Arabidopsis thaliana: one gene and its partners. The protein of the gene in region 1 interacts with the protein of each later gene in a pairwise test. Each region holds a gene or a part of one and is shown in the gene's direction. Other genes may lie near its edges.

Region 1 (7,468 bases):
AGACTCTTGAGCAATTTCTATGTAAGAAAACACAAATAGCATCAGAAATAGTTTCAGGCAATTTCAAGCAACAGATGAACTTTGAATTTTGATTACTAGAAGATGAATTAATCATTCCTAAGAACTTTGACTTCGAATCGAACACTGACCTGTTCGTAAGACCAGCTCCTGGAGAACTGCCGGTGTGGCAAGAGAAATTTGAGGCTCCCGATCGAAACTCGAGCAAAAGTGATAAAGCAAAGAGCGATAATTTCGATTCGGCAGATGCGTGCGTCGGTGAGGAAACGGAGCGACGGAAGATTCCATTGTCTCCGCCGGAGAATAATCTCAACCAGTACCGATAGGCTCAACTTCGGCTTGTCTTTCGCCGGAGAAAGGCCGTCTTGTGGCGGTGGACGATTTAAAAATCTTTATTGGGCTTGTATCATCTTTGATGTTAATGGGCTTCCTGATTTTGTAGGCCCAATGAATCCTTCAACAAACGGCGTCGTAATAAGGATCCAAACCCTAAAAGATTTATGGATTCAGAGTTTTCGAAATTGGAATTTCTCACTCTCTCTATCTCTCTTAGCCAGCTCTGATCATTTCGATTTTTTTCCGGTGAAAAGGGAGGAGAAACATGGTTGTACGTATCAGACTGTCGAGATTTGGATGCAAAAATCGGCCATTTTTTAGGGTTATGGCTGCTGATAGCAGATCTCCAAGAGACGGGAAGCATCTTGAGGTCTTAGGTTACTTCAATCCTTTGCCAGGTGATTGACAAAACAAAATGTATTCCAATTGGTGTTGTTCGTAGAGTTTTCGATTAAAATACACGATCTCTTGGTCTATGTGTTCAGGCCAGGACGGTGGTAAGAGGATGGGTCTCAAGTTCGATCGAATTAAGTATGTTTCTTCTCATCTAATTCTCTAGTTTCTTATGTTTTTTTCGGTAAAATCAGGTAGGTTTTGGGTTGAATTTACTCAGAAAGAGGTCTCTGAATGCTTCACTAGATGATTAAGGCTTTTCTGCATTTGAAGTGTTTTGGTTAATTGCTAAAGTTAGCTTCTAGCCGCCTCTAGATATCTTAATGCATTGTTGTATAGTCAACATTGTGTTATAGTTAACTATCTTTCGATCTGATACAAAGGAGCTGAGTTCAGTCTTTGAATGGTTTTTGTTATCGAAAGGCGAATGAATCTACATGTTTCCCATGGTTGGTTTTGATCACTTTCTTTCTCTTCATGGTATTGAACCATTAGTTGAAGCAATTTTCTACCTCATTTAATCACTAACTTATGAAAGGAAAAACTGAAATATTTGTGGAAATTCATCAACAAGTTTTGTTATATAACAAATGAAACTTCTCCGCCAGTCTTGAGTCTTTCTATGGAACTTCTGCTCTGAGTTCTGGAATTGTTTCTTATTAGTGTAAGATGAAGAACCTGTTGATTATCTATTCGTATACACACTTACTTACATTCTTAATTGTTCACCATATACAACCTCTTTTGCATAATTGTATGGTCATGTAGCTTTAGAATCTTGTCATGCTCTTTATCATCATCTAAAATTAAGATTATAATGTCCGGATATTAGAAGAACACATGTCAAGACTACTTAAAAGTTAGATCCTGGTCTGTCTTTCTTTTGTTCTGAATGACTAGTTTCAACAGAGGATGCATATAGTTTGATTAATGGACATTTTGTTTGATTCTCTTGTTCTGTACAGGTACTGGTTATCTGTTGGTGCTCAGCCATCAGACCCGGTTCAACGTCTCCTATTCAGATCCGGTTTACTTCCTCCTCCTCCAATGGTGGCTATGGGACGTAAAGGTGGAGCACGAGACACACGCCCAGTTGATCCGATGACTGGTCGCTATGTGGATGCAGAGAATAAAACAGTTAATGCCAATGATAACCAGCCTAAGGAAGAGGATACAGAAGCCAAGAGTGCATGATTCATTAGCCTTCTGTCATCGTAGCTTTTCAAGTTCACTTTGTTGTCGATTATATTGTGTAATGCAGCATTAGACAACTGACTTGTTTCCTTTGTTTGGCGATAAACGGCAAGGTGTTTGGCACTTTTTGCAGAAACGGCACATATTTTGCATTGGGATATTTTAGATTTTAAAAAATGAAAAAGTAAATAAAAATGCCAGCGAGGGAATTAAAAAAAAAAGAATGGCAGTTGTTAGGTTTAAATTTTATAAAGGAGGAAGCCACGTTTTGCGTTTAGTCGCCACCCAGAAAAAACCCTCAAGTCTTCTTCTTCTTCCTCAATCTCTCCACCTCTTTTCAAACCTTCTTCACACTCTCTCTCAATCAATCCTTTTTCTTCTCAAATCTTTCAGTTTTGATCTCTAAATTTCCAGAAAATGAGCAACGATAAGGACAGTTTCAATGTCAGCGATCTCACTTCTGGTAAATCTATATCTCCGATTTTGTTTCTGCGGCTTTGCTTCTTCTTAGTCAAAGTTTTAGAAGCTTTTTTGTTTGTTTGCAGCTCTTAAAGATGAGGATCGAGCTGGTCTTGTCAACGCTCTTAAGGTGAGTTTCTCTATCTCTTCTTATATCGATTTGCATTATACTTGAAGAGGAACATGTAATTTGGGCGTTTCGTCATTTTATAGTTTCTGTGGAGATTTTTTTGTAACTGTTATGTGTTTGATTCACAGAACAAGCTCCAGAATCTAGCTGGACAACATTCTGATGTGCTCGAGAATCTGACTCCTAAAATTAGAAGGCGTGTTGAGGTTTTGCGGGAGATTCAGGTTTGGGAAAACTTCCATTCACTTTTTATGAGCTCTATGCTTATGTTGTGATTAACGTTTCCTATATAAGCTTTTGTTCAATAGATTGGTGTAGATTGATATGGTATCTTGTGAGTATGATGTTGAAATGTATATTTGTATGCTTTTGATTATATGAGAATGCTGTGCATTCTTTTGATGATTATCTGAGAATCCTTTTCGTTTTTTAGGGCAAACATGATGAAATAGAGACAAAATTCCGCGAGGAGAGAGCTGCTCTTGAAGCCAAGTATCAAAAGTTATATCAGCCTTTGTATAACAAGGTAATTTGGTTGTAGCAAGATTAAACTATTTTGAAAAATTTAGTTATCCTGTATTTTCTTTATTTCCAGCTGTGTTGGCTTTAGTTAGCTTCGAATTTCTCTTGACACTGGCTTGACATTTGGAATGTGCAGCGTTATGAGATTGTGAATGGAGCTACTGAAGTTGAAGGGGCTCCAGAGGATGCTAAGATGGACCAAGGAGACGAGAAAACTGCAGAAGGTACTCTCTCTCTCTCTTTGCCTTTGTAAATTGTAATCATTCTTGCAAGAAAAAAACAATTTGCTTATTTCACCGGGCTGGATTGCAGAGAAAGGAGTCCCTAGTTTCTGGCTGACTGCTCTGAAAAATAATGATGTTATATCTGAAGAGGTTGGTGTTACATCTATGATTGTTCATTTAGAGTTACTTAATCATATCCATGGAAATTGACCAGAGTTTTAATTTCTTTTGATTTCAGATCACAGAGCGTGATGAAGGAGCCCTTATATATCTTAAAGATATCAAGTGGTGCAAGATTGAAGAACCAAAGGGATTCAAACTTGAGTTTTTCTTCGACCAGAATCCTTACTTCAAAAACACCCTATTAACAAAGGCGTATCATATGATTGATGAAGATGAGCCTCTGCTTGAGAAGGCTATTGGGTAATTGTTGATAACTTTTTTGTAATATTTATTCCCTAGCATATTTTGTTCTGAGATTCTTCCAAGGAGCTGCGGAATCTTGTACTGACTTATGCACTAACATGGATTTTGATTCTTTGTTCTTTGTCTCAGGACAGAGATTGATTGGTATCCTGGAAAATGCTTAACTCAGAAGATTCTTAAGAAGAAGCCTAAGAAAGGTGCAAAGAATGCCAAGCCAATTACCAAAACTGAAGATTGTGAAAGCTTCTTCAACTTCTTCAATCCTCCCCAAGTTCCTGATGATGATGAAGACATTGACGAAGAAAGAGTATGATATCATTTGGTTTTAAGACAGGCCCTATTTTGACTATGTTTGATTATACTTTTGTAGTAATGTTTTCTGTTCTTGGTGCAGGCCGAGGAACTTCAGAATCTGATGGAACAAGATTATGACATTGGGTTCGTCTTCTTGAACATAAACTCTGTCAATTTAATATATTCCGTCTAACTTATTACCAACTGTATAAGAGCTCTAGCTAGCATCTTTTATCGGAAAGTTAATACATTATTTAGTATCTGATTCAAGTATTCCTTGCTTCTTGCAGTTCTACAATCCGGGAGAAGATCATACCTCATGCTGTCTCATGGTTTACTGGTGAGGCTATTGAGGGAGAGGAGTTTGAAATAGACAATGACGATGAAGATGATATCGATGAGGATGAAGATGAGGATGAAGAAGATGAAGACGAAGATGAGGAAGAAGACGACGAAGATGAGGAGGAAGAAGTAAGCAAGACCAAAAAGAAGGTATTGGATTCCTCTTGTTTCATTTCTTCTTGTCATGGAATTACCTTTTCTGAGTTAGTTACTAACTTTTTGATATTGTGTTGAATGTTTATGCAGCCATCAGTCTTACACAAGGTACATAGCCATATTCCACCCTTCTTATAGTATTTGTCTGAGTTAATTAGATAATCCGATACCAATGAGTCATACAACGGTCATAAACTATTGACATTTATAGGCTAGACCATGATCTAAAAAGTAGAGAACATGACCCGTGAATTAGGAGATAGCTGAAATTAACTGATTAAGCTCACTATGCACGAATCTGTGAATCATAGAAACTTGAACTCTTATATGACTGAGAATTATAAATGAAACTATGTAGAATCCTTCTCATGCATATTTATAAGCTTAGGCTAAATCTAGTACTTGCAAACCATTGTGCTATGTTTGTGATAATGAGATGGATTCTATAGTCATACTCTTTTTGAAATCATATTGCAGAAAGGAGGGAGACCTCAGGTTACCGATGATCAACAAGGAGAGAGGCCTCCTGAATGCAAACAACAGTAAACAAAATCGAAAAGTCTAAACGAAAACCAGTAAAAGAAAAACAAATGTTTTGGGTTTTGAGTGAAGTTTCATGGCCTAGTTTTTTGCTTCCATGTAAGGCAAAATGTTTTGAAGACTGCTCATAGGAATGTTGCTGTAGGCAAAAGAGTGAGTTTCTCCATGTGGAGATACTTGATAAATTATTTTTGGTGCATTTGTTTTTTTTTTTTTTAATCACTAAGTTGAATTTTGGTGTGTTCGTCAAAATTATATCTTTTTACCACTTGAATTAAGTCTCTTTTGGTTTCTTTAATTTAAAAATAAATAAATCTTATCATTGTTTTTTTTGTGTGGACATAAGTGTATTATTCTTATTGTAAACCAAGAAAAAAGAACAGAAAGAAATTTGTTTTCATGTAGTTTCTTCTTCAATGGGTCGATTAGTATTTCATTATGGTCAAAGTCAAATTAATCACACACCGTGACCATTAGCAATTTAGCATTAGTGAGTGTCGTTATTCGTTAATAAATCAATTAATTGAGTCATTTAAATAGTAAACGTTAAAATCAAAGATGCACACGAAAGGGACTCTTTCTATATACAGAAAAAAATATATGTACTTGTTTTAATAGTTGATTTTGACTCCAAATGGAATTTGCTGATTCTACCAAACAACGGTTTTGGATTAATGCGTATTTGTTTTTGAATATTTTGCTTCACCGTAACAAATCATGTCCTCTCAAGGACTGAAGATTCTTTTATCAGTTAATTACAAATACAATTAGTGCTAATGAATCATTTCACATTACCCTGAGGTTATCAAACTATTGACTTCAAATCTTTGTCGTCCATTGACTTTTTTTTTTTTTACAGCTTTGTCGTCCATTGACTATAAATGTTATATTGGAGTATTGTTTAAGCGTGATTAATTTTTTCTAAAGCATGATTTAGTCAATTAGTTATTTTTTTTGCTTTTAGTGCTATTTGATCTGAATTTGAATCTAATACTCCGTTTTATTAGAAGTTTAATATTACTATTAAGGTAATCCCAAACAATAGATCATAACCCAAATATTTGATCAAAATTCAAAAGTAATGATCTAAAAGGCGTCTTTATCTTAAACTTTATACAAGATGGCTTGTAAATCAATAGTATGATACTATTTTAATAGCACGAATCAGCCAAAAGAATTTAAGACATGTAGGGTTTTATCCAAATGTTTTGTAGTAATAATTGCCTATAAAGTTATGTTCCCTCAAAAGACACAACCTAACGGAAAAATGACTGAAACAGGGAAACTGCTACATTCTCTTTTGGCCAATGTATCTGTAAGTCAGTTAATTCAATGAATGGGGATGCTAATCCAAATAGACTGTGGACAATGATTCATCACTTTAGTTGATATCATTCAAGTTCCAATATTCAAACGAATTGGCTTTCTACGGTAATAGCTAGTCTTTAACATGTAAAAAGAACAGTAAACAACTATTTTCAAAATAAGATATTTTTATATAGAGTAAATGTAAAACCAAACGCATATATCATTCTATTTTTGTTTAATTTTTACGTTTGCAATTTACAAAACAAAATGCTAAAAATGTTTAAGATAGAGAGTTCATGTAAAAGATATATATACAGTAATTTATAAATGTTTTGAATTATTGGGTCAGATCATCCCGTTTGATGATAATTAGCCATATTTAATTGCCGATATCATATAGTGCGATAAAAAAAATCATATATATAGTGAGTGGATTCGAACGATGAAAGCGATATAATTAATATACCTATTTTGGTAAGACTAGGTATACTATATGATACAATGTTTGAAGACATTTTAACTAAGCTTTTGAATTTGTCACTTTTTCCATAGAAAACAGTCAACATTCTTTTCCTCTTAAGTGTCTAGAAGCATAATCTTCAAAAGTTCCACGTGTTTAAGTGTTAATATAGTCTTTAAAATTAATGCAGGGTATAATATCATGAAAATGTTAGTTTAATAGCCTAATTAGGAATAAGTAGCTTTACGAGTTAGTACAGGAGAAGGTTTTCTCAAACGTACGTTCTTCCGTAATCTTAAATCGGGTCAAAAATGGCGTCTTCCGAAATTTTCAGTTCTGAATTTTCTACAATTTGCCCCAACTTTTTATTTTGGGATGGAGTATTTCACATAGTTTATCATTAACTAAAAAATATAAAATAAATAATAAAGTATAATAGAAATAGGAGAAATTGAAAATTTTAGACTAATATTTAAGAGATTATGTGTATAAGTGTATATTTATAATTGGACAAAACCTAAATTATAATAATAATAAAAAAATTCTTTTTTTGAGAAACCTTTAAAATATCTCACCAATAAAAATGGCCTTAGATCCACACTCGTTTTGTTGAAATTAAGCCTTGTCTTATTTTTTAATCGGTTGTCTCGAGAGACATCCATGATT
Region 2 (6,221 bases), on another chromosome or scaffold:
CTTGACTTCCAAAGTCTTGAATCTTGTCTGGGCACAGGTCTTACCTGATCCATTCTTGAGACGGCTGATTCTCAGGTGAGTTTTTCTCAAAGTTTTCGGAATCAAAACCTCACAAAGCATGGACTCTTGTCAAATATTGTCTTGTTGTTGTGTAGATTCATATTCTGCCGGTCTGTACTCACTTCCTTCAGCCGCACAGAGGATGATGACCCGTATTTACCTCAATGCCACCCGAATCTCCCAGAGCTGCTCTCTTCGGTATCTAAACCGGTGCAGTCCTCAGTACAACGACTAGCTGAGCACTTGGGTGTTGCCAAATCTTTCCACTTCACCAACACATAAAATTAGAAAAATCCATCCCTGTGGTTGAGAGTAGGTTGGTGGGTGAGAGAGTAGGTTGTTTGTTCGTTTTTGTTATAGAAGTTTGTATTTGTTTAGGGTATAAAGAAAAGAGAGAATTGTAATTTTTATTTTGATTTGATGATTCTTTAGTTTTGTCATATTTGTAAAAGATTAGAACAAGGTAATAATCATTAGTCTCTTCTTTAGGATGGTTTGCTTTGTGTACGAGGAGAGGTTAACAATATCTGTGCATTGCATTAAAGAAACTAAGAAAGTGTGACATTGTTCTATCGCTTTTTCATAAACATCTATGTAAGTTTGAGCCAAGAACGAATTAAAGATTGAAACTTTACCCAAATTATCTATTCAACTTTGTGATGAATGGGTTTTAAGTTTCAACATTTGAGCTCAAGAACGAAGTAAAAAGGTTGATACTTTTTTACAAATGATGAAAGGTGCCAGAGATTGAATCCTAGCCGTCAAATAATAAATCAAAACGCCAAGAACAAAGGTGTCTCTGTGAGATTGAATCGTAGCCATCGAGTCCAATTTCTAACCGGAACCGCTTGATTTCGCTGTCTTCTAGTTCTGCGACCTATCATCGCTTTAGTGGAAAGGAGGAAGAAACATGGAGATTTCGAGGTGAGTTTGCAGAGATTTGAATAAATCTTTGGATAGTTTCGTCTGGTATTAACTATGTTTGGTTGGAGTTGCGATTATTAGTTTGAGAAGCTTTTAGATCTGTTTTCAGGGAATATTCATATATTGGCATATCTGTTTTTCAATTGCAGATGGATTTGACTACTCCAAGAAACCCATAAAGATCTTTGATTTGAAAAACCTAAATTCCATCCACTATGCTAACTTTGAGACCTTTTGTGCCTGTAACAACATTAAAGCCTCGTTTTTCATACAACATTCCGCATCATCATCATCACATTCGCTTGTGCAAATCTCCTTCATTAATCTTGAGAACAAATGCTCAAAATGGCAACGACTCGGCCAAGGAGTCTTCTGGTGGCGGAAACAGACCTGTTACTAACGATGATGGTAATGGTTCCAAGAAAGACCAATTCGCTGGTTTCAGTTTCAAGTGGGGAGAGCTGTTGAATCCAGATCAAGATAACTTTGTGGCTGTTGGATTAGCTGGAGTGTTGACTTGGGCTAGCCTTCAAGTCTTGTCTCAGCTTTTCTTCATCTCTTTCGCCATCCTTGTCGCTGCTCTCAAGTATTCATTTATCGCTGCTCTACTCATTTTCATTCTCGTCACTCTCCTCTAGCTTTGTCTACTATTGTCTTTATAATGGTCATTTACTACTAAAGAATTTGTACCAACAACGATTCAGATTCTACTCTGTTATTGTAATCGATTTGAAGAATTACTACAGATACATGCATGAATGTACATTTGAGCTTGGTATCAAGTTTGGTGTGAATTCGAACATGGTTTAAACCCTCTTCTTGAAACACTGAAGAAGAATGTCTTACGAACCAGTTCAAATCTCAAAGTTAACACCTCTTATGATCCAACTCGAAGCAATGCATTGATATATCACAATCAAAAGCAATGGCGAGAATCGATTAAAGTTATTTCATTGAGACTTTATTAAGCTTAAGTTATATTAAGAAGAGACACTACTTTTTAGAGGAGGATTTCTTCTTGGAGCTAACAACAACAACTTGAGGTTTAGGATGTTTCTCTGCTTCACTTGGATCTAACCACTTAAGATGATGACGATTAAAGCAAGGCCAATTAGGTATTGTGATCAGAGTCGTCAGAACAACACCTCCGGCGTAAATCAACATCATCATCCTAAACGACGCCGTTGTGTAACCAACAACGAACGACACAACGGCGGCGATCAGAAGCAGGATCTGCATTAACTGCTCCGCCAATTTCTGCCCTTGCCAATCCATATCTGAAGAAGAAAAAAAAACACAAAATTACGATTTAGATCCGATATAACAAAATTTGAATCGCACAGATCGATCTCTTTGGAGATTCTATACCTAGAAAATGGAGACGATTTTCAAATCTCTGTAAAAATTCTGGTTTCTTCTTGACGGAAGAAGACGACGACTCCAATATTTCGGTTAGTACTGAACCGGAAAGTTTGACTGGTGCAACCAATTTAATGTACCGTACGTAACGCACCAATCGGATTTTGTATTCAATGGGCCTTATCTGTGAGCCCATTAATTGATGTGACGGCCTAAACTAAATCCGAACGGTTTATTTCAGCGATCCGCGACGGTTTGTATTCAGCCAATAGCAATCAATTATGTAGCAGTGGTGATCCTCGTCAAACCAGTAAAGCTAGATCTGGACCGTTGAATTGGTGCAAGAAAGCACATGTTGTGATATTTTTACCCGTACGATTAGAAAACTTGAGAAACACATTGATAATCGATAAAAACCGTCCGATCATATAAATCCGCTTTACCATCGTTGCCTATAAATTAATATCAATAGCCGTACACGCGTGAAGACTGACAATATTATCTTTTTCGAATTCGGAGCTCAAGTTTGAAATTCGGAGAAGCTAGAGAGTTTTCTGAGGTACGATTCTTCGATCCTCTTTGATTTTCCTGGAAATATTTTTTCGGTGATCGTGAAACTACTGGAATCGCTCGATAGGTGGTACGAAATTAGGCGAGATTAGTTTCTATTCTTGGCCATTATCTTGTTTCTTCGCCGAATGATCTTCCGGATAAAGATTTTAGGTTAGAGATGAATCGTATAGCTAGATTTCATCACCAGATAGTTTCTTTGTCTAGAATCTCTGAAATTCTCGATAGTTTTCACATGTGTAAATAGATTGTTCTTATTCGGCGATTGTTGATTAGGGTTTTGATTTTCTTGATTATGCGATTGCAATTAGGGATTTTCTTTGGTTTTGTGTTGATCTTACGATACATTCCGGCAATTGAATACGTATGGATCTAAATCTTGTTAATTTGTTGAACAGATGGCTCGTACTAAGCAAACAGCTCGTAAGTCTACTGGAGGAAAGGCTCCTAGGAAGCAGCTTGCTACAAAGGTAAGACTCGGGCTCTCACATGTGATCTGAGTAGCTTGATAAACACATTTCTAGATTTGTTCTAATTGGTGGATGTTTTAATTTAAGGCTGCACGTAAGTCTGCACCAACCACTGGAGGAGTCAAGAAGCCCCATCGTTACCGTCCAGGAACTGTTGCACTACGGTATGCAATCTGTTTCTTCCCCAAATTCAATTGTGTTTTTACTTTATTGATATCGTCATTGATTAAACTCTGTTTCTCTGTTTTATTGATCTTGATTGACAGTGAAATTCGTAAGTACCAGAAGAGTACCGAGTTGCTGATCAGGAAGCTCCCTTTCCAGAGGCTAGTTCGTGAGATTGCCCAGGATTTCAAGGTAATGTGTCTGTTCGTCTGATTCAGTCTACAAATGGATTTAACTTTTTACTTGTTTTGTCATAACCTTGTGTTCTTATCTTGTCTCTTTGATTGCAGACTGACTTGCGTTTCCAGAGCCATGCTGTGCTTGCACTCCAGGAGGCTGCTGAAGCATACCTTGTGGGTCTCTTTGAGGACACTAACCTCTGCGCCATCCATGCCAAGCGTGTGACCATAATGCCCAAAGACATTCAGCTCGCTCGCAGGATCAGAGGAGAACGTGCTTAATTGTGATTGGGAAGTAGTTGGATTATGTGAATGTGGGTGGTTTTCTAAATAGATAGTTGGAATTAGATAATGGCTTAAAAAGCTTTTGGGTGTAGGAGACTTGGAAACAATGGTGTTTTTTTTTTCTTTTCTTTCTGTTTCTTGTCTAGTCGGTTTATGATTTGCTTGTGTTCTTCTTAGCTACGTTTTGTGGTGTGTATTGCTTTCTTCTTTGGCAATGTTGAACACCTTTTGTTGTTGAATTCATCTCTGAAACATATGAATATGTTAAAGTTTCTGACTCTTGTTTCATCTGTATCTGTTCGATATTGTATGATTGAGTTTTATTGTTTATCAATAAGCTTTCTGTTTCAAAGTTCTTTTCAATATCAACAACTTTTACGTTCACGAAATTGGTAATCCGTGTGACACTTAAAATCTCTAATCGTGGCCGTTGGGCTGTGTTGAGAAAACACAATGTACAATAGTTTGAACCGTAGGATAAAGAATGTGAGAAAGCACAAAGGAGCGTATCGTGATAACCCTTTCGTGAGTATTATAAATAATAATTCAACTACATTGCGGCCACAACCACTACTTCAATCATCCCCTATTACTGCTTTTGTTACGAAAGACAAAAAAACAAAACAAAACAAAAGTCAGCTCAGGCGAAGAACAGGTATGATTTGTTTGTAATTAGATCAGGGGTTTAGGTCTTTCCATTACTTTTTAATGTTTTTTCTGTTACTGTCTCCGCGATCTGATTTTACGACAATAGAGTTTCGGGTTTTGTCCCATTCCAGTTTGAAAATAAAGGTCCGTCTTTTAAGTTTGCTGGATCGATAAACCTGTGAAGATTGAGTCTAGTCGATTTATTGGATGATCCATTCTTCATCGTTTTTTTCTTGCTTCGAAGTTCTGTATAACCAGATTTGTCTGTGTGCGATTGTCATTACCTAGCCGTGTATCGAGAACTAGGGTTTTCGAGTCAATTTTGCCCCTTTTGGTTATATCTGGTTCGATAACGATTCATCTGGATTAGGGTTTTAAGTGGTGACGTTTAGTATTCCAATTTCTTCAAAATTTAGTTATGGATAATGAAAATCCCCAATTGACTGTTCAATTTCTTGTTAAATGCGCAGATGGCTCGTACCAAGCAAACCGCTCGTAAGTCCACCGGAGGTAAAGCTCCAAGGAAGCAACTTGCTACTAAGGTTTTGTTCCTTCTTGTCTCTTTTTTCAAATAATACTTGTGTTGTGAAGTTGAATGTTAATCTCCTTCTTTATTAACCTCAGGCTGCTCGTAAATCTGCACCAACTACTGGTGGAGTCAAGAAACCACATCGTTACCGTCCTGGAACTGTTGCTCTCCGGTTTGTCCCTTCTTCGATTTGTATGTGATTCTTTGAGATTATGTAACATTGTGTGTTAACATTCCTCTTATCTTTTGGTGTTCAGTGAAATCCGTAAGTACCAGAAGAGTACTGAGTTGCTTATCAGGAAACTGCCATTTCAGAGGCTAGTCCGTGAGATTGCTCAAGATTTCAAGACTGATTTGCGTTTCCAGAGCCATGCTGTCTTAGCTCTCCAGGAAGCTGCAGAAGCATATCTTGTTGGTCTCTTTGAAGACACTAACCTTTGTGCCATTCATGCCAAGCGTGTGACCATAATGCCCAAAGACATTCAGCTCGCTCGTCGTATCAGAGGTGAACGCGCTTAAGCCAACCAAGAATCCGAGATTTGGTTCAAGTAGTTTTTGTTTTTTATGAAAGCAAGATCTTAATTGCTGTGTTTTTTAAATCTCTGGGTATGTAGTAGTAAGAGTAGTAAGAAGTCTGCAATCTAAGAATGTTGTGTTCTTTAAGCTTATTATTATGTGTGTTGCGAACTCTTTTTAACTCTTTTGTTAAATTCTTATGTTTTCTTAACTCGTTTGTTCGTCACCATTGCTTTCTCTTCAAATAATGGCTGATTTTTTTCTATAATTTTGGATTTGTTGAATGCTTTCTTTTAAAAGAATCAGATTTTGGACTTTTGACCAAAGAAAATAATAATATCAGACGATAAAATAGACGGCTCTCGATAAAACTAACCCTAAAAATAAGGAAATAAGTTCCTCTTTGAACCAAATTTTCTTTCTTTGACCAATAGATCTTTTTGTCAACCTCTTAAATATATTCTTAGTCAATCTTCTAATAAACCCATTGGCCATTACCAAAAATTCCTCGGAAAC
Region 3 (4,953 bases), about 20 Mb from region 1:
TCACTTTCATCTAAAATTTTAGTAAATTTTGTCATAGTTAGTACATTACTTTTTAACTTGATATAAGAATTTTTGAGTGACTGTTTACAGTGTACAATCTTAAAACATTGCAGGCACATAAATCAAGTGTGCGCATTAAAAAATGGTTGGTCTCGGACGCAGGAAACTGAAGATGCTATTTTAGTTGTCAAATAAAATTATTTTGGAGCATCCGTTTCGTAAATCTAAATCCTATTTATTGCATAAAACACATAGCTTATGGTTTCAATATCACATGATTAGTTGATTGAAATGGGCTAAACCGGAGGAGGGATTGATTTGCTTTCTTTATAAATAACAGAAAAAATAATTATGCACACTTTCACTTCATATAATTCATAAAAGGTTTATTTACATACGGAATCACTTCTTCTTTGTCTTTATGAAATAAGGATTCAAACATAATTAGAAGAAAAAAAACGAGATAACCCATTCTCAAGAGTCAAGACAAAAACCAAATTAAATCGTAAAGCTGGTATTTATGTACGTATAGTGAGAAGTCTACCATGTGTAAACCGGATCTTGCTTCACCTAACTGAACCAACCAGACCGAATTATTCGTCAATCCGTTGGAGTCGTCAAATGTTACCCATCCGGAATCCAATGTAACTTCATGTGTTAATGTCTCAGAAATCAGAATCGTCGAATGTTACCCATTCGGGTTGAACCGAACCAACCAATTCAATCATCTCCTCATCGTCCTTAACCGTAGTCTGAACCAAACCGGCCAATTCAATCATCTGCTTATTGTTTTTCTTTTCTGTTTCAGCCTTCAACATCTCAACCAAACACCAAAAATCATCCGCTAGACGTCTGCAACGCCAAAATAATCCACTCAAGCTCTCCTTGCATTCTACAAGTCTCACCAAAAGCAGACTAAAATCGTTCAGACCGAGATCACCAATAGGTTTAACACCCGGTTTAATCAATCGTTCAAACAACACCTGAAGCCGTACCATAACCAATCTCACAATCTTGAAATAGTCTTCAATCACTAGCTCTCTAATCTCGTCCACGATCTTGTTTTGGAACATAGGCGGAATCTCAGGTCTGGTACATATATGCTCAAAAAAACTCACAAGAGAATCCGTTTGTCTTATAATATACCCGGTTTGGTAAGACGAAACACGATCTTTCTCTTCAACTTTATCTTTTGGATTCACCAACAAATTTGGAAAAGATCCTAATACCTTCGGAACCCACGAGAGACGATCCAAGTATTGTCCATACCTAAGTTACATTTTTTTTTTAAAAATGTCGGTATGAACATGTCCAAATTATTAGATAAATATCACAATCAAAAAAGAGAACTAAAAAATCTTTTTAAAAGAAGAAGTAAATTACCATCTAATCCACTGAGACAATTCTAGCGTGAGATTAGAAGATTTGTCTGAAAACTCGTTCAACTTTAGATTGTTTCGACCATGACCTAGTCCTTCAAACTTGTCTCTTGATGATTTGATAAGCTTGTGGATGACGATGAGAGACTTGGTGGCCACAATAGCGTTCTTCGTGACACGTAACCTCCACAGAGCCGCTGAGAAAGCCGCCGGAGCGTAACGGCTGTTGGAGTAAGAGATAACAGCGGAGACATAGTCACTGTTTGGTGGTTTGTTAGGAGTACGAGTTGTTGACTTCAAGAGGGCTAAGTGAATGTATTTGACGGCGGTGGACCCGAAACTATGAACCAATCTTGCTTTGCCTATCGAAGCTTTGTCTTTGAATTTTCCGATTATGTGAGTTTTGAGTCCTGGCATTATCTCGATGGAACTAGATGAAAAAAAAATTGAAGCTGTTTTGCTTTGTGAGGTTGGAATTTGATTTTTATAAGCGTCCAATGTTTGATTCGCTTTCCATTTTCTTATAGTTTCCTTTTAAATCTTTTTTATATACGTGAGTTTCCTTTTGCAATCATTCAAAATTAACATTATTTTTTTGGTCGACATCCAAATTTGATTAATTTTACTTTTCTCAACTATTAATTTGGTAATATATCTTTTCATTCTAAAGTCGTCGTTCATTCATTTTATAAAACTTATATTAAACATGACGAGTTCATATTCAACCTCATAAGACCAATAAAATGTTGTTATTTGTTAAATAAAATGTTGATAGGAATGTTATAGAATAAGTCTGGCAACTACTTTGTTATTTCTATTACATATATAGTTTATTTGTATTGACTATTGACTTTACACCAATGTTTTTTTTATTTGTATTGTAAATGAATAAGTTTACCAATGTTATATTTAACGAATAGGTTTACCAGTATTGTCATTTATCTAGTATCTAATTAAAGATTAGAAAAGTCAATACAAATTAACTATATAAGTAATAGTAATAACAACCACACTGCAGCCACCAGCAAATTCCATTAACAAAATAAAGATCTCGAAAATTTGAACACCAATTTACGATTTTTTAACGTCAACATGAATGATATATTCATAAAAATGTGTTGAGAACAAATTTGGTCAAGTCAAGCTTTAGATCCGTAAGAATAATTGATTCATGGCTTCTTCCGCATAAACACATAAATCAAATTGTATATGTGAATTTCGGCATTGACAATTTTGGTAACATATGACGTGGATGCTGAGAAAGTAATTCTTATTGGTTATTAACACAGGACGCGGATCGTAAAGATACAAACATTTCTAACCGTTGATAAGCCAAACAGATCTAACGGACAAAACACAATCACTTCCTCTCTACCTTTGAGTATAAAAAAGCCTCACAACATCACTCACTTTCCCATCGATCGCATTCTCACCGAATCAAATCCAAAAGAGCAAATTTACAATCTTGCGAACTCCTAAAATGGCTCGTACCAAGCAAACAGCTCGTAAATCCACCGGAGGAAAGGCACCAAGGAAGCAACTCGCGACCAAAGCTGCGAGGAAATCAGCTCCAGCCACCGGAGGAGTGAAGAAGCCACACAGATTCCGTCCAGGAACGGTGGCGTTGAGAGAAATCAGGAAGTATCAGAAGAGTACTGAGCTTTTGATCCGTAAGCTTCCGTTCCAGAGATTGGTTCGTGAGATTGCTCAAGATTTCAAGACGGATCTGAGGTTCCAGAGCAGTGCCGTCGCAGCTCTTCAGGAAGCAGCTGAGGCTTATCTTGTTGGGCTCTTTGAAGATACTAATCTCTGTGCGATTCATGCTAAGAGGGTTACGATTATGCCTAAGGATATCCAGCTTGCGAGGAGAATCAGAGGAGAGAGGGCTTAAGTGAACGAAGATGATGAAGATTAAGAAGACTAGTCGTTTAGTTATGGATTAGCTTGTTTGGTTTCAATGGATATGTAAAGCTGTCTCTTTTCGTTTTCGAGTGTTATTAGTTTTTTACTTAGATGTGTCTTCCAGATGTTCGATGAAATGCCTAAAGGAAATTTTAATCTACTGTTGTCTAATCTTTTGATTCGTTCTGTCGATCTCCATATTTCTGCCACGCTTAAGAATCGTTTATCAACGGAAGAGTTAATTTTTTGCTCGATGAAATTGTCCAAATTGATTTGCAATAGTAGCTGCTTAGGGATTCTCAGTCTTCTTCTCCATGAACAAAACATTCTACAAATTCTTATTTAGAACTAAATCATTCACTAAACGTAAGAAAAGTATCGGTTCTTTACAAAATCAAAGTGAGAATTCGCAGATTGTTCTATTCCTGGTTATACCATCACAGTAAGAAATCCTCCAAATTATTTTACTTAATGCGTAGATTTGCTGAATAAGAGTAATGTAATTTCTCGAAATTTGTAACTTCAGGCTAAATTTGTTATGTAAATTTTGAAATAATTTCATCCTTATTTTCTACGATTGAATTTTTTTGAGACCCTTCATAGCCAAAATTTTCGATTTGGCGCCTAAAATTAAAAGATTTGGAAGTAGCGCAAAAGCCTACGTGGACTGAAAAGGATGATTTAAATTGGTTGATAGTAAATGACACGGATGGCCGGAATTTTAGTCTATTTTAATTCGTTGATAAGGTCTCACACGGATTTATACCTGATGATCTCAGCCGTTGATTGAAATATTTAATCCAACGGACAAGAATACAACTTTCCCTCCAAAAACAAAACTCCCTCCCATGTTTTTTTCACCTCACCGCCAAATTTCTCTCCCCATAAAAGCAGTCCCTCTTCTGCGTTGATCTTCACTACAAAATTTCTCATTCGCATCCTCCACAAGAAGAAAATTCGATCGGTCGATTAGTCTTTGTTTGATTTCGAAATGGCTCGTACTAAGCAAACCGCGAGGAAATCCACAGGAGGCAAAGCACCAAGAAAGCAACTCGCAACCAAGGCGGCAAGGAAATCTGCTCCGGCCACCGGAGGAGTGAAGAAGCCGCATAGATTCCGTCCAGGAACTGTTGCCTTGAGAGAGATCAGGAAGTATCAGAAGAGCACTGAGCTTCTGATCCGTAAGCTTCCTTTCCAGCGTCTGGTTCGTGAGATAGCTCAGGATTTCAAGACGGATCTGAGGTTTCAGAGCAGTGCTGTTGCTGCTTTACAAGAGGCTGCTGAGGCTTACCTTGTTGGTTTGTTTGAAGACACTAATCTTTGCGCCATTCACGCTAAGAGGGTCACCATCATGCCTAAGGATATCCAGCTCGCGAGGAGAATCAGAGGAGAAAGAGCTTGAAGACTGTTGTTATGGTTTATATCTTTTGATTTAGTTCGTCAATGGAACTCTATTTCTGGATTTTGATTTGCGTTTTAGTAGTAATGGGTTCTTGTAAGTGTTGAGCTTTGGCTCGTTTTAATTTTCAGTTGTTAGGTACTTTGGTTTAGTTAGCCTTGAAGTGTTCGATGAAATACCCCAACGAAACTCTCTCCTGTTTAATAGAACTTATTTTCCTTAATTTCTTTGGTTTTGCTGCTCGTTGATCATATAATATTGAAACATTGAAAG

Evidence for each region.
Region 2: the proteins of NAP1;3 (region 1) and AT4G40040 interact in a protein complementation assay, tested with the Arabidopsis thaliana proteins (one study listed by BioGRID).
Region 3: the proteins of NAP1;3 (region 1) and AT5G10400 interact in a protein complementation assay, tested with the Arabidopsis thaliana proteins (one study listed by BioGRID).

What each region holds. Positions count from the first base shown.
Region 1 is NC_003076.8:23,030,260-23,037,727, forward strand, and holds NAP1;3 (nucleosome assembly protein 1;3), read left to right. Parts: upstream 1-2,189; 5' UTR 2,190-2,358; coding exon 2,359-2,404; intron 2,405-2,486; coding exon 2,487-2,530; intron 2,531-2,658; coding exon 2,659-2,754; intron 2,755-2,963; coding exon 2,964-3,056; intron 3,057-3,188; coding exon 3,189-3,276; intron 3,277-3,364; coding exon 3,365-3,426; intron 3,427-3,514; coding exon 3,515-3,699; intron 3,700-3,831; coding exon 3,832-4,009; intron 4,010-4,096; coding exon 4,097-4,140; intron 4,141-4,286; coding exon 4,287-4,488; intron 4,489-4,584; coding exon 4,585-4,602; intron 4,603-4,971; coding exon 4,972-5,040; 3' UTR 5,041-5,434; downstream 5,435-7,468. Other genes in the region: EMB1789 (CCCH-type zinc finger family protein), read right to left, coding at 1-17, 150-306; AT5G56940 (Ribosomal protein S16 family protein), read left to right, coding at 620-752, 840-885, 1,713-1,941. UniProt on the Arabidopsis thaliana protein: May modulate chromatin structure by regulation of nucleosome assembly/disassembly. May function in nucleotide excision repair (NER). Involved in somatic homologous recombination. Could be involved in response to abscisic acid (ABA) and to salt stress.
Region 2 is NC_003075.7:18,555,327-18,561,547, reverse strand, and holds AT4G40040 (Histone superfamily protein), read left to right. Parts: upstream 1-2,602; 5' UTR 2,603-2,902; exon of another isoform or gene 2,903-3,311; coding exon 3,312-3,383; intron 3,384-3,470; coding exon 3,471-3,547; intron 3,548-3,649; coding exon 3,650-3,740; intron 3,741-3,838; coding exon 3,839-4,009; 3' UTR 4,010-4,377; downstream 4,378-6,221. Other genes in the region: AT4G40050 (signal transducer, putative (DUF3550/UPF0682)), read left to right, coding at 1-75, 156-342; AT4G40045 (uncharacterized protein), read left to right, coding at 1,200-1,622; AT4G40042 (Microsomal signal peptidase 12 kDa subunit (SPC12)), read right to left, coding at 1,978-2,259; AT4G40030 (Histone superfamily protein), read left to right, coding at 4,721-4,804, 5,131-5,202, 5,285-5,361, 5,447-5,708. UniProt on the Arabidopsis thaliana protein: Variant histone H3 which replaces conventional H3 in a wide range of nucleosomes in active genes. Constitutes the predominant form of histone H3 in non-dividing cells and is incorporated into chromatin independently of DNA synthesis.
Region 3 is NC_003076.8:3,268,795-3,273,747, reverse strand, and holds AT5G10400 (Histone superfamily protein), read left to right. Parts: upstream 1-2,790; 5' UTR 2,791-2,859; coding exon 2,860-3,270; 3' UTR 3,271-3,576; downstream 3,577-4,953. Other genes in the region: AT5G10420 (MATE efflux family protein), read left to right, coding at 114-170; AT5G10410 (ENTH/ANTH/VHS superfamily protein), read right to left, coding at 666-1,269, 1,384-1,796; AT5G10390 (Histone superfamily protein), read left to right, coding at 4,273-4,683. UniProt on the Arabidopsis thaliana protein: Core component of nucleosome. Nucleosomes wrap and compact DNA into chromatin, limiting DNA accessibility to the cellular machineries which require DNA as a template.